Linked DNA regions of Callithrix jacchus. The protein of the gene in region 1 binds, or shares a complex with, the protein of each later gene. Links are inferred from orthologs where the notes say so. Each region holds a gene or a part of one and is shown on either strand. Other genes may lie near its edges.

Region 1 (8,143 bases):
AGCAAGACTCCATCTCAAAAAAAAAAAAAAAAAATTTTAAAAAATAAGCAAGAAACTGGGAAACGACATCTGTAATACATATCAACAACAAAGGATTAATAATCAGAATATATAAAGAAATCTTTTGTAAAAGACAACCCAGTAAGAAAAATGGCAAACCAAGTCCCAGCATTCTCTAATCTGTGTAAAGCTGGCATTACCACAGTTGCCACGCAGTACACTCCACAACAACAGACCTTGCCATCACTGACTGATATAAATATTCAGGGGTCTATGTTATGCTGCAGGTACACAGAGCATGGGGAATCAAGCCCAAAGGGCAGAGCCAAGACGTTTATTCATTCTCCATCGTATAGACATTGGATGGCAAATTAGAGGTTGATACCCAACATTCAGACACACAGATCAACCAAAAGAAAAAAAAAAAGACACATAGATCGGGGTTGGCAAATGTTTTTGTAAAGAGTATTTTCAGCTTTGTGAACCGACATAACACATCTCTGCCACAACTACTCAACTTTGCCATTGGTACCACAAAAGCAGATATGGACAATATTAGTAAACGAGTGTGGCTGTGTTCCAATAAAAATGTTATTTAAAAAAACAGATGGTGGGCCAGATTTGACCTATGAAACAGTTTGCTGACCCCTGCCTGACATGGACAGTTGTGCTTTTTCTACACTATAGGTAGGGTACTTCCCATGTTTTCCCCTGCCTTTTATGTCTGCTGACACTTACCTCTGATTTCCTTAACCAAAAACTACACCACACTTGACAGCTTTGCAGTGGTTTCCAAAACTCTTACTCTACCAAAAAAACCCTTTCACCCTTATTATCAATGAGAATTCTCCCCTCATTTTCCTTTCATTTAACCTCTTTGACAGCCATCAACCCAGAAAATCTAAACCAGAAATCTAAAAAAGTCACCCCTCTTACCACTCACAACGTCAATCATCAACACCTGAAAATTCTAACTCCATTCAATGCCCACAGCCTCTGCCTTAGTTCAGATCCTCTGTACTTGCCTGGTCTTCAGTCTACCCTCCTTCCAAAGATCATCCATGTATCTCCTAGAAATTAAAACTCCACTATATACTCCCCCTTTTGAAGATCTTGAATGCCTCTCTCAGCTGAGGATTCAGTCCAAACTCCTTAGCAAGGTCCTTCACAACCAGGCTCCTAACATGGGCTTCCTAGTCTCATCTCTGACCATGCTTTCACACACATCCTATGCTTCAGCCACATTCAATTAATGCATTCCCTGAAAACGTGTCTTTACCTGAAAAGCCCTTCTCTCCAATTCACTGGCAAACTCCTGTATCTTTCAGGACACATCTCAGATGTCACCCCTTCACAACACCTTGCCTGATACTTTGAGCAGAGACACACCCATCTGTGTCCTTATAGCATTTAATGACTCTTCTTTGGCATCGGCCAACCTGAGCTATGATTTTCACCTGTCTACTTCACTCATAGGGCTGCATACCCAAAGTGAAATGACTGCCGTAAAGACTTCTGAATCTACTGGAGCCCAGCATAATGCTTGATACGCAGTAGATGCCTTGAGGCACAGTAAATGTTTGTTGAATGGAAGACATGTCTGGTAGTAGGAGTTGGGTTTCTTAACCTGGGGGTTCACAGACCGGAATCTATAAATAGGACTTCAGTGAGGTTTGTGAACTTGGATAGAAAAAACAAAATTTCTTTTACTAACCTCTAACTGAAAATTACCATTCTATTCAAATATGACTGTAGGTAACATACCATTCTAGTATTAGGAGTATCTGTGACTCTGTAACAATAGAAATCTCAAATATCTTTATTTTTTTGAAACAGAGTCTTGCTCTGTCACCATGCACCAGGCTGGAGTGCAGTGGCACAATTTCAGCTCACTGCAACCTCCACTTCCCAGGTTCAAGCAATTCTCCTGCCTCAGCCTCCCGAGTAGCTGGGACTACAGGCACACACCTCCACACCCAGCTAATTTTTGTATTTTTAGTAGAGACGGGGTTTCACCATGTTGGCCAGGATGGTCTTGATCTCTTGGCCTTATGATCCACCCACCTCAGCCTCCCAAAGTGCTGGGATTATAGATGTGAGCAACCGTGCCCTGCCCTCAAATATCTTTATATTATACTACAGTTGTTGCATATAATCTTAAAGTACCCTTTAAGCGCATCATATCTTTGAAATTATAATTATCGGATCCATCACTAAATATGATTTCTTAATGTGCTGATAAACAAGTATATGCATATTAGATTTTTATAGTGTAGTAATTGTATTTCAATATAATTGGTGTTCCTTATAATCCAATGTATTTTATTTTATACAATTAAAAATATTATTCTGAAAGGGGTCCATGGCACAGATAAAGTCAGGTCTTCCAGCATTAGAAAAACCCAGAAAAGGCTCACACCATGGTGGCTCACGCCTGTTAATCCCAGCACTTTGGGAGGCCGAGATGGGCAGATCACTTGAGCTCAGGAGTTCAAGACCAGCCTGGGTAACACGGTAAAACCCCATCTCTACCAAAAAGAAAAAAAAAAACAAACCCAGAACAAATGAATTGTGTTACTGTATATACATATGATATTGACGATCTTATTTTATATATAACCCTTTTGTTCATTAATTCTCTTTGATTATATGGGGCCCTGGACCTATTTTTCATGACTGATTTGCATATTTCCTTCAGACCCATAGTCCATGCAAACTTTGAATTCTTCTCTCACAGGATCCAACTTCGATGAACACAATATAGACTCTGGGTCTCTACCATTGTTCACTTTTCTTTTTTAGGATTTTGTGTTCCTTTATGATAAACACCTAGAAGAGAAGGCATCTCTTTTTTTAAGACAGTATCTTGCTCTGTCGCCCAGGCTGGAATGTCATGGCATGATCACAGCATGGCTCATTGCAGCCTTGACCTCCCAGGCTCAAGCGATCCTCCCACCTCAGCCTCCTGAGTAGCTGGGACTACAGATACAAGCCACATCAGATGGCTAATTTTTTGGCCTTTTTTGTAGAGATGGGGTCTGCCAACTCCTGGGCTCAAGGAATCCTCCCACCTTGGCCTCCCAAAGGGCTGGGATTACAGGCATGCGCCACTGTGGCTGGCCGGAGCATCTCTAAAAACTCTAGAAAGTTAGAAAGTATCAAAGATAACTTCTTTGCACAATTAGAGACGAGCCAGGAAATACCAAGTAACTGTATTCCCTTCGGCCTTTGCATTGCCAAACTCATTACAGGAACAAAACAAATTTAATTGTTCTCTGGTATATACTGTTACGCTTCATTTCTTGTTGTTTTTGTTTGTTTGCTTCTAGTTTCATCACAAGAATGTTACGCTTCATTTCTTAACACCTTTCTCCCAACCAGCAAATTCCTTTAAGGAAATGTGTTTAAACCACTTCCAGTAGCCCCTCTGCCACTAACTTATAAGATCTTGAGAAGTCAACTTTACCTTTCTATGTTTCAGCTAAAATCACTACCTGAGTTGAAATCTTTACTTGATCTCTCAGGTCTTTGTAGTTTTTATACATTCACTCTTCACCATTTTACTGGCTTCAATAACGCCTTTCTGATGACCTCTCCAGGTGACCCTGCTCTTAAGCTGTGGGCTGTCCCATTCCAGGGAAGACACCTTGGGTCACCGCCCCCAAACAGGCGGGTTCCTCCTTTTAAAGACACACACAACTCCCAAAGTTGATGTAGGTTTTCTCCTTTCTTGCCAACCAGTTCTACTCTCTGTACCTCTTTTGCTGGCCAGCTTGCACCCAAACCTCAGTCCCCCTGTTCTCTCCTCATCAAACACCTTTTTCCTGTTGCTTCCCCCAATAGGGGGTGGAGGATCCTTGGGACAGAAGTCTTCAGAGCCTTGTGAGTTACACAGCTTTGCAATTCAGTTCCACTACCCCAAGGACTGCCCAATCTGATACCAGCGTCTGGATCCAAAGGGCCCTCATTTCTCATCAATCGCCTCCGTCCTTTCCCGCAAAGAACTGTTCCAGCCCTGACAGCCTGAGCCTGACCCCAAGCCTCCACCCCAATCCCCAGATCCTACCAGCACTAGGGCTCTCTATACACCGCCTAAGGCCTAACCCAGTTCCACGTCCTGCCATCCTTTCAGCCCTTGGACCCCAATCCCGGTTCCTTTCGGTCCCGGTGTTCCTTCTCGGCGACCCTGACTACGACCCCACGACCCCACGACCAGCTCCCGCCAGTTCCCCAGGCCTGAAGCGCCACCCCGTGCAGACCCCAGCCAGCCCTGCACTCCCTCAGTGCACCGGCCCCCGCGCCCAGCACCCTCCCCACCCCGCCGGGCCACCGCTCCCTCCAGCGCCCCCGCCCGCAGGCCTAGGGCCCGCTCCCCAACATGGCGACTGGGACACCAGCGCGGCGGGCGGGGCGGCTCCGGGCCGGGCCCACACTCGGACCGTGCAGCACGGTCGCCGGGCGCCATTTTCCCGCGCCGGGCCCGGGCGGCGCCTCCTCCCAGCAAAGCCAACCCGACCCGGACCGCGGACGCCCGGCGGGCCCACCCCTTACGGGCCCGCGCCGCCGTTGCCTCACCTGAGCGCGGCCCCGGCCCTCCCGGGCGGGCCTTGGAGCGCCGGCCCGGGCCGTGCGTGCCCGCCGCCCTCCGTGCGTTCGTCCGTCAGTCCTCGCGTGCGCCCGTCTGTCCGGCCACCCGCGCCCGGCCGCCCGCAGCCCGACCCGGCAGGGCCTCACGGAGCCGGCGGGGAGGGGGATGGGCCGGACCGGGCCGGGGAGGGAGGGGGAGGGAGGGAGAGAGGGAGGGAGCGCGAGAAGGGGCGGGGCGGACTCGAGGGGCGGGGCATCGCCCATGTGACCAGACGTTCCCGGGAGCGCGAGGTGGAGCGCGCGCCAGCTCGCTTCGGTGCTGAGTGCTTAGTGCGGGTGTATCGTGGGTCTCTGTCGACTTCCCAGGGCTGTTCTCCCGCCAGTGAGTCCCACTTCGGAAGCACACACGGCACAACGTTTTGCGAGCGCTCTGGCTAAGTACCCTTGGACGTGGCAACTCCAAGCCTCAGTTTACCTATTGAAATATGGAGAAATTCATAGTGCTTGTTGAAGAAGAAATGGCGGGGGGCATGGAAAGCACTTATCGCAGTGCCTGACACATACTGTCTAATAATAAGCTTAATGGGGATATAGATAGAAGCTTTCATTATTAGTTGCCTCCAAATCCCTCTCTTCTTTTTCCCATCATTACCTCCCTAGCAAGCGAAATGCTCAGTTAATAGAATTCTTGATCGAACAAGTGAGTGTGGCCCCTCCCCTCTTCCCAAATGTAGAAAGGCCTCCTCAGCACTGGACTTGATGTCTGTCATTCAGGCCTGCATTCATATCTGGCTTTCACTCTTTTTTTAAATTTTTTTGTTCTTTTTCCCACACTACACTGATGTATTTTTTTAATTTTTGTGAGTACGCAGTAGGTGTATATATTTATGGGGTATATAAGATTTTGATACAGGCATGCAATGCATAATAATCACATCATGGTAAATGGGGTAAATGGGGTATCTAGCACCTCAGCATTTTTTTTAAAAAAGATGGTGTTTCACCATGTTGGTCAGGCTGGTCTTGAACTCTCGACCTCAGGTTATCCACCCACCTCGGCCTCCCAGAGTGCTAGGATTACAGGCATGAGCCACCGTGCCTGGCCGCACCTCAGCATTTATCTTTGGTGTTACAACCCAGTTATATGCTAGTTATTTTAAAATGTGCAGGTAAATTGTTTTTTTACTATCATCACCTTCTTGTGCCGGCAAATACTATGTCTTATTCATCTTATTTTTTGTAACCATTAATCATTCCCATTTCCCAGCCACCTCCCACTAACCTTCCCAGCCTCTGGTAACCCTCCTTCTACTCTGTATCTCCATGAGTTCAATTGTTTGAATTTTTTGCTCCCATAAATAAGTGATCACATGGGAAGTTTGTCTCTCTGTGTCTGGCTTCTTTCATGTAACAAGGACCTCCAGTTACATCCATATTGTTGTAAATGGCATGATCTCATTCTTTTTTAATGGCGGAATAGTATTCTATTGTGCACATGTACATTTTATTTACCTATTCATCTGTTGATGGACACTTAGGTTGCTTCCAAATCTTGGCTATTGCGAACAGGGCTGCAGTAAACATGAGAGTGCAGATATCGCTTCCGTATACTGATTTCCTTTTTTTCTGGTGTATACCTAAGAGTAGGATTGCTGAATTGTATGGTAGCTCTATTTTGGCTTTTGCTCTTGATAGCTACCCTTCCCTCTCTGAACTTCAGCTTCTTCATCTGCAAAATAGGAGTTAGGGGGCTGTTCTGAGCATCACAGGAGATGGAGGATGAACAGGAGGATTGTAAACTAATTAAACAGGTCAGTCCTACTGGTCCCATTAAGGAAAGGGAGTCAGGAACCCTTTCATTCCATAAATATTTATTGAGTACATACTGTGTGCCTGGACTGGTGTAGTAGATACCCACCATCTTTTCACATCACCCTGACTGCCCTCTAATCTATTCTCCACGCTGCTGTCGCAATAATGTTTCTAATGATCAGAAATCTGATTATGTCACTACCCTACTTAAAAGTATCTGATGATGGCCAGGTGCAGTGGCTCACGCCTATAATCCCAGCACTTTGGGAGGCTAAGGCAAGTGGATTGCTTGAGCCCGGGAGTTTGAGACCACACTGGGCAACATGTCAAAATCCTGTCTCAACAAAAAATAGAAAAACGGCTGGACTCAGTGGCTCACACCTGTAATCCCAACACTTTGGGAGGCCAAGGTGGGTGGATCACCTCAGCTCAGAAGTTCGAGACTAGCCTGGGCAACATGGCGAAACCCCATCTCAACTAAAAGTACAAAAATTAGCTGGGCATGGTGGCACACACCTGTAGTCCCAACTATTTGGGAGGCTGAGGCATGCAGCCAGAATCACTTCAGCCGGGAGGTGGAGGCTTCAGTGAGCCGAGATCACACCACTGCTCTCCTGCCTGGGTGGCAAAGTGAGACCAAGTCTCAAAAAAAAAAAAAAAAAAAAAGACAAAAACAAAAATTAGTGGGCATGGTGGTGCACACCTGTGGCCCCAGCTACTCAGGAGGTTGAGGTGGGAAGATTGCTTGAGCCCAGGAGGTTGAGCTTGCAGTAAGCTGAGATGGTATCACTGTGCTCTAGCCTGGGCAATAGAGTGAAACCCTGTCTCAAAAAAAAAAAAAAAAAAAAAATCTGATGGCACTTCATTGTTCTTAAGATAAAGGCTAAATAAATGTTGTGCCCCTCACCTCTCTAGATTTATCCCCGGGCCCTCTTCCCCTTTCTCTGGGTTGGAACTACAGTGACATTTCTTACACATTGTTCTCCCTCCCTTCTAAGCACCCTTGCACATGCTGATCCCCCTGCCTCCAATGCTCTCCACACTTAAATAACTCATCAGCCTTCAGAATCCAGTGCAAACAGGGCTACTCCAAGGATACCTTCCCAGACAGGATCTCTTAACACCATGTACTTGTCCTTAATAGAAGGTACCAAGTCATTATTACCTGTCTTTGCCACTGGACTATGGAAGGAAACCTCATCCATTTTGTTTACTACTGTTTACTGAGCACGTAGCACAGTACCTGGCACAGAGTAGGTGCTCAATAAGTATTTGTTATGTTTGTGACTTCTAAGCACCATACTAGGTATTGGGCCCAAGAGGGCAGAGAGGAGCAAAGAGAACCACAGGCAACCCAACAATGGGGCACCTTAGACCTTTGAGCCTATGGAATTAACACCAAAGAGATTTTAAATATCCTGGAAAAGCCAGGCACAGTGGCTCATGCCTGTAATCCCAGCACTTTGGGAGGCTGAGGCAGGCAGGTCACCTGAGGTTGGGAGTTTGAGACCAGCCTGACCAACAGCCAGACCAAACCCTGTCTGTACTAAAAATACAAAATTATCTGGGCATGGTGCCACATGCCTGTAATCCCAGCTACTCAGGAGGCTGAGGCAAGAGAATCACTTGAACCTGGGAGGTGGAGGTTGTGGTGAGCCAAGATCTCACCATTGCACTCCAGCCTGGGCAACAACCCCAAAACTCCATCCCCCCCAAAAAAAAATCCTGGAAAAAAAACTTTCCT
Region 2 (7,582 bases), on another chromosome or scaffold:
GCCAGAAGAGAGTGGGGGCCAGTATTCAACATCCTTAAAGGAAAGAACTTTCAACCTAGAATTTCATATCCAGCCAAACTAAGCTTCATAAGCAAAGGAGAAAGAAAATCCTTTATGGACAAGCAATTGCTGAGAGATTTTGTCACCACCAGGCCTGCCTTACAAGAGCTCCTGAAAGAAGCACTAAACAAGGAAAGGAACAACCAGTACCAGCCATCCAAAAAACGTACCAAATGGTAAAGACAATCAATGCAATGAAGAAAATGTGTCAACTCAGAGGCAAAACATCCAGCTAGCATCAAAACAGCAGGATCAAATTCACACATAACAATATTAACCTTAAATGTAAACAGACTAAATGCCCCAATCAAAAGATACAGACTGGCAAATTAGATAAAAAGCCAAAACCCATCAGTATGCTGTATTCAGGAAACCCATCTCACGTGCAAGGGCACACTTGAGCTAAAAATAAAGGGATGGAGGAAGATTTATCAAACAAATGAGAGCAACAAAAAGCAGGAGTTCCAATCCTAGTCTCTGATAAAATGGACTTTAAACCAACAAAGATCAAAAGAGACAAAGAAGGGCACTACATAATGGTAAAATGATCAATGCATCAAGAAGAACTAATGATCCTAAATATATATGCACCCAATACAGGAGCACCCAGGTACATAGAGCAAGTTCTTAATGACCTACAAAGAGACTTAGACTCCCACACAATAATAGTGGGAGACTTTAACACTCCACTGTCAATATTAGACAGATTAACGAGACAAAATTAACAAGGATATCCAGAACTTGAACTCAGATCTGGAGCAAGTGGACAGACATCTACAGAACTCTCCACCCCAAATCCACAGAATATACAATCTTCTCAGCACCGCATAGTACCTACTCTAAAATTGACCACATAATTGGAAGTAAATCACTCTTCAGCAAATGCAAAAGAATGGAAATCATAACAAACAGTCTCTCAGACCACAGTGCAATCAAATTAGAACTCAGAATTAAGGAACTAACTCAGAACTACACAACTTCATAGAACCTGAACAACTGGCTTCTGAATGTCAACTGGATAAACAATGAAACGAAGGAAGAAATAAAGAACAATAAAGAACAAAGACACAACACACCAGAATCTCTGGGACACATTTAAAGCAGCGTCTATAAATTTATAGCAATAAATGCCCACCAGAGAAGCGAGGAAAGATCTAAAATAGACACCCTATCACCAAAACTGAAAGAGCTCGAGGAGCAAGATCAAAAAAACTCAAAAGCTAGCAGAAGACAAGTACAACTAAGATCAGAGCAGAACTGAAGGAGATAGAGACACAAAAAATCCTTCAAAAAGTCAATAAATCCAGGAGCTGGTTTTTTGAAAAGATCAACAAAATAGACCACTAGCCAGATTAATAAAGAAAAGGAAAAGGAGAAGAATCAAATAGATGCAATAAAATAGATAAAGGGGATATCACCACTGACTCCACAGAAATACAAATGACAATCAGAGATTACTACAAACAACTCTATGCACATAAACCAGTAAACCCGGAAGAAACTAATAAATTCCTAGACACTTGCACCCTCCCAAGCCTAAACCAGGAAGAAGTTGAAACCTTGAACAGACCAGTAACAAGGGCTGAAGTTGAGGCAGCAATTAATAGCCTACCAACCAAAAAAAGTCCAGGTCTAGATGGGTTCACAGCTGAATTCTACCAGACGTACAAAGACGAGCTGGTACCATTCCTTCTGAAACTATTCCAAACAGTACAAAAAGAGGGAATACTTCCCAAATCATTTTATGAAGCCAAAATCATCCTGATACCAAAACCCGGCGGAGACTCAGCAAGAAAAGAAAACTTCAGGCCAATATCTATGATGAACATAGATGCAAAAATCTTCAATAAAATACTGGCAAACCAAATACAACAGCACATAAAAAAACTTATCCATCACGATCAAGTAGGCTTCATCCCAGGGATGCAAGACTGGTTCAACATACACAAGCCTATAAACATAATTCACCACATAAACAGAACCAAAGACAAAAACCACATGATTATCTAAACAGATGCAGAGAAGGCCCTTGACAAAATTCAACAGCCCTTTATGCTAAAAACTCTCAATAAACTAGGTATTGATGGACTGTATCTCAAAATAATAAAAGCTATTTACAACAACCCTACAGCCAATATCATACTGAATGGGGAAAAACTGGAAGCATTCTCTTTGAAATCCGGCAGTAGACAAGGATACCCTCTGTCACCATTCCTATTCAATATAGTATTGGAAGTTCTAGGCAGAGCAATTAGGCAAGCAAAAAAATAAAGGGTATTCAATTAGGAAAAGAGGAAGTCAAATTGTCTCTATCTGCAGAAGACATGATTGTGTATTCAGAAGACCCCATCATCTCAGCCCAAAATCTCCTTAAACTGATAAGCAACTTCAGCAAAGTCTCAGGATACAAAATCAATGTGCAAAAATCACAAGCATTTCTATATACAATAACAGACTAACAGAGAGCCAAATCATGAGTGAAATCCCATTCACAATTGCTACAAAGAGAATAAAATACCTAGAAATACAACTAACAAGGGATGCAAAGGACCTCTTCGAGAACTACAAACCACTGCTCAACAAAATGAGAGAGGACACAAACAGATGGAAAAACATTCCATGCTCATGATTAGGAAGAATCAATATCGTGAAAATGGCCATACTGCTCAAAGTATTTTCTAGATTCAATGCTATCCCCATAAAGCTACCAATGACCTTCATCAAAGAACTGGATAAAACCACCTTAAACTTCATATGGAACCAAAAGAGAGCCCACATAGCCAAGACAATTCTAAGCAAAAAGAACAAAGGTGGAGGCATCATGCTACCTGATTTCAAACTATACTACAAAGCTACAGTAATCAAAACAGCATGGTACTGGTACCAAAACAGATATATAAACCAATGGAACAGAATAGAGACCTTGGAGGCAACACCACACATCTACAACCATCCGATCTTTGACAAACCTGACAAAAACAAGCAATGGGGAAAGGATTCCCTGTTTAATAAATGGTGTTAGGAAAACTGACTAGCAGTGCAGAAAGCTGAAACTGGACCCCTTCCTGACACCTTACACTAAAATTAACTTCAGATGGATTAAAGATTTAAACATAATACCTAACACCATAAAAACCCTAGAAGAAAACCTAGACAGGCCGGGCGCGGTGGCTCAAGACTGTAATCCCAGCACTTTGGGAGGCCAAGGTGGGTGGATCACGAGAGATCGAGACCATGCTGGTCAACATGGTGAAACCCCATCTCTACTAAAAATACAAAAAATTAGCTGGGCATGGTGGCACGTGCCTGTAATCCCAGCTACTCAGGAGGCTGAGGCAGGAGAATTGCCTGAACCCAGGAGGCGGAGGTTGCGGTGAGCCGGATCACGCCATTGCACTCCAGCCTGGGTAACAAGAGCGAAACTCCGTCTCAAAAAAAAAAAAAAAAAAAAAAAACCTAGACAAAACCATTCAGGACATAGGCAAGGACTTCATGACTAAAATACCAGAAGCATTGGCAATGAAAGCCAAAATAGACAAATAGGACCTAATTAACCTCCAGAGCTTCTGTACAGCAAAAGGAACAATCATTAGAGTGAACTGGCAACCAACAGAATAGGAAAAAATTTTTGCAATCCACCTATCTGACAAAGGGCTAATATACAGAATCTACAAAGAAATAAAACAGATTTACAAGAAAAAAACAAACCCATCCAAAAGTGGGAGGAGGATATGAACAGATATTTTTCAAAAGAAGACATTTGAGGCCAACAAACATATGAAAAAATGCTCATCATCACTGAGTATTAGAGAAACGCAAATTAAAACCACATTGAGATACCACTTCACGCCAGTTAGAATAGCAATCATTAAAAAAATCTGGAGACAACAGATGCTGGAGAGGATGTGGAGAAATAGGAACACTTTTACACTGTTGGTGGGAATGTAAACTAGTTCAACCATTGTGGAAGACAGTGTGGCGCTTCCTCAGGGACCTAGAAATACAAATTCCATTTGATCCAGCAATCCCATTACTGGGTATATATCCAAAGGATTACAAATCATTCTATTATAAAGACACATGCACACATATGTTCATAGTAGCACTGTTTACAATAGCAAAGACCTGGAACCAACCCAAATGCCCACTGATGATAGACTAGACAAGGAAAATGTGGCACATATACACCATGGAATACTATGCAGCCATAAAAAACGATGAGTTTGTGTCCTCTGTAGGGACATGGATGAATCTGGAAACCTAATTCTCAGCAAACTGACACAAAAACAAAAAAAAATCAAACACCACATGTTCTCACTCATAGGCAGGTGATGAACAATGAGAACACATGGACACAGGGAGGGGAGCATCACACACTGGGGGGTCTGTTGGGGGTAGGGCCAAGGGAGGGACAGCGAGATGTGGGGGAGGTCAGGGAGGGATAACATGGGGAGAAATGCCATATGTAGGTGACGGGGGCATGAAGGCAGCAAACCACATTGCCATGTGTGTACCTATGCAACAATCCTGCATGATCTGCACATGTACCCCAGAACCTAAAGTACAATTTAAAAAAAAAAGGGGGTTAAAAAAAAAAAAAAGCAATTTACAGGATTACTTCTCAAATCTGATACATCAATTTGACCTCAACATCTAAGCATATCAAGGCTTCTGTCAAACTCTTACTTTAGATGAATGACTACAGCATGTTTTGCTTACTTTCCATAGCTTAAAAGATCCAAATTATGTTTCAGCATTCTTATCATGCCAGTAAGTCAAGCATTTTCACTTGACGAACTTTTGCACACTAACCTGCATGCCTTCAGAACTTCTGCTGAGCTGGGATATATGGACACAGACACTGATGGTATGATCTGAGGACTAGGTTTGTGGTTAACTAGAAGTAGATCTGTTTTCATGGGGCTCTGAGATTCTTCCATCCCTTCTCCATTAATTGTGTGTAGCCCACTGTGAGGGCTGTTAAGGCTGGTAACACTGTTTGTGGTTGTCTGCTCAGTGGATTTTGGAGAAGGTGTTGCTGTGGAAATGGCTGAAGATGGTGAAGAGGCAACAGAGTTATCAGTCTTTGTATGAACAGCTGGGTGGATGTTATTGACTTTGTCACAGGTTCCAGTACCCACATTGTTATTGGCTTTTCCCATCAACAAGGCAGAGAGCTGAGGATTGTCTGAACTTAGTAAACCTGGTGACTTAGAATCTCCATGGCTAGGACTGCAAACAGCATCTGCCGTCATCTGGTGGACATGATTAGGAAGTCCCTCGACACTGGCAGTGCTGTTAGGTGTCTCTCCAGCGTGCCTGCTTGTTTCAGGCACCGTCAACATGTTTCCTGAAGGCTTGCTCTCTTTGGTTAAGGTAATGCCTTGTTGTCCACCTGAGGTAGCAGTGTGAGAGGAGAGGTGATTGAGAGCAGCCCCCTGTGTTACTGAATTGCTAGGCAGGGTGGGATGTCCATTCTGATTCTGAATACCAGAGCCAGCTGCCTGGAGATGCTGGGAAGGCCCAGTGGAAGAGAGAGGTCGTTCACCATTAGGACCTGCCGAATGTGAACTCTGACCTTTGTGAAGCCCCTAAAATGAAAGAAAAAATAGTTTAAATCTAACATTAAGCAAACTCAGAGGGCATATATAGATTTAAAACATTAAAAAGAAAAGCCACTAAAAGTAAATATCTAACTATATAAGATAATTTGACCCAAGTCCTAAAAAGTTATCAAAAAGTACCTGTAATTTAGCTAATCAGTATTTAACATCTTTAGAGAAATTTTCCTTCCTTACTATCTAAAATGACTCCAATATTAGTGTAGAATAAACTACTTCAGATGAAGAATTACAAATTTTAAGTTTCAATATACATATTTTCATCTCTAAAAGCAGACATGGATAGACATTACAGATAGATCATTAATATTTAAAAGCCAATGACCACGGATCAACATAAACCAATTCTCATCAGTCTGTGATCTGTTAAAAGATTAAGATAGAAAGTGAGTTCATTAAAGCTTGAAAATTATCATTAACATATAATCTTCGGTAATTCAAATACTATTGTTAAAACAGCTATCCTCAAAATTAAGGACTGAACTATTAAATCTATGAAAATATTTAAAAAATACCTAAAGTTTCCCCATTTATCCATCCACACATTTTTAAAAGACTAGACAGGCTTGGTGTAGTGGCTCATGTCTGTAATTCTAGCACTTTGGAAGGCCAAAGCAGAAGGATCACTTGCGGCCAGGAGTTTGAGACCAGGCTGGGCAACACAATGAGACTCCGTCTCCACAAAGAAAAAGAAAAGGATAAAGAGGGAAGGGGAAAGAGGAAAGGAAAGGTGGCAGACAAGCTAGGTGTGGTGGTAAGTTTGCCTGTAGTCCAGCCACATAGCAGGCTGAGGTGGGAGGATCTCTGGAGCCCAGGAGTTTGAGGATGCAGTGAGCTAGGATAGTGCCACTGCACTCCAGCCTGGGTGACAGGGCAGAACCTTGTCATTTATTATCATTTTTTTTAAAAGGGGGGAGGTGGGGAACATTCTAAGTCTCCACTAATGACTTTGAGGTAAACTTCATTTTTCATCAACTTAATTTGAAAAATTAGAAAAATATACTGCTACTGTTAAAGCAATCTGAGGGAGCAGTATACTAACAGCCAATAGAAGTTTTAAGACCAGAGGAAGATCACTTAGGGCATTTAATGGAATAAAAATATGATAAATAGAACTAAGATGTATAATTTTTACCTGAAATTTGCCTCTGGTGTCACAGAGAAACTTCTTTAAGAAGAATATTTTCATTTCATTTTACTGACAAAATAATTAAATAGGATAGCCAATTTTTCAGCAACACTGATTAAAGTAACATTGGAATCATAAAACAATGATTTAATAGTTTCCAAATCATTATAATTTAAGATCAAACCTAGTAACATGTATGGGATTTACAAGATTATCGTAATTATATATTAACATATTTTATCTTATATTCCCAATAATAAATAGACCTCCATCTCCAGAAAAAATTTTAAAGCTGTTGCATTTTGAGTTGATTACTTCAGCAACAAGGTTAGAGAAATTTAATTTGTCATTAATAAGCCATAAAGGAATAAAAATATAGCTGATGACAAGATATTTATATATGAAAGGGTGCATTTAATCATCTAGTTAAAATCAGCTAGCACGCCCCTAAAACCAGTTTCTGAAGCTGAAAATTTTAAATCAATGCTTTTACTCAATAGGCTTATCTACCTAAAAAACTACATACATTATTGGCCAGGCACAATGGTTCACGCCTGTAATCCTAGCACTTTTGGAGGCCAAGGCAGGCGGATCACCTGAAGTTAGGAATTCGAGACCAGCCTGGCCAACATGGTAAACCCCCGTCTCTACTAAAATGGAAAAATTAGCTGGGCATGGTGGTAGGCACCTGTAATCCCAGCTACTTGGGAGGCTGAGGCAGGAGAATCTCTTTAACTCAGGAGGCAGAGGTTGCAGTGAGCCAAAAATCACA

Evidence for each region. The genes of interacting proteins can lie anywhere in the genome.
Region 2: NCOA6 (region 1) and KDM6A share a complex: the UniProt entries of both Homo sapiens proteins name them as parts of the MLL2/3 complex. The link is inferred for Callithrix jacchus from reciprocal best matches to the Homo sapiens genes NCOA6 and KDM6A.

The regions. Positions count from the first base shown.
Region 1 is NC_133506.1:4,478,043-4,486,185, reverse strand, and holds the start of NCOA6 (nuclear receptor coactivator 6), read right to left. Parts: upstream 4,771-8,143; 5' UTR 4,576-4,770; intron 1-4,575. UniProt on the Homo sapiens protein: Nuclear receptor coactivator that directly binds nuclear receptors and stimulates the transcriptional activities in a hormone-dependent fashion. Coactivates expression in an agonist- and AF2-dependent manner.
Region 2 is NC_133524.1:45,984,835-45,992,416, reverse strand, and holds part of KDM6A (lysine-specific demethylase 6A), read right to left. Parts: intron 5,652-7,582; coding exon 4,873-5,651; intron 1-4,872. UniProt on the Homo sapiens protein: Histone demethylase that specifically demethylates 'Lys-27' of histone H3, thereby playing a central role in histone code. Demethylates trimethylated and dimethylated but not monomethylated H3 'Lys-27'.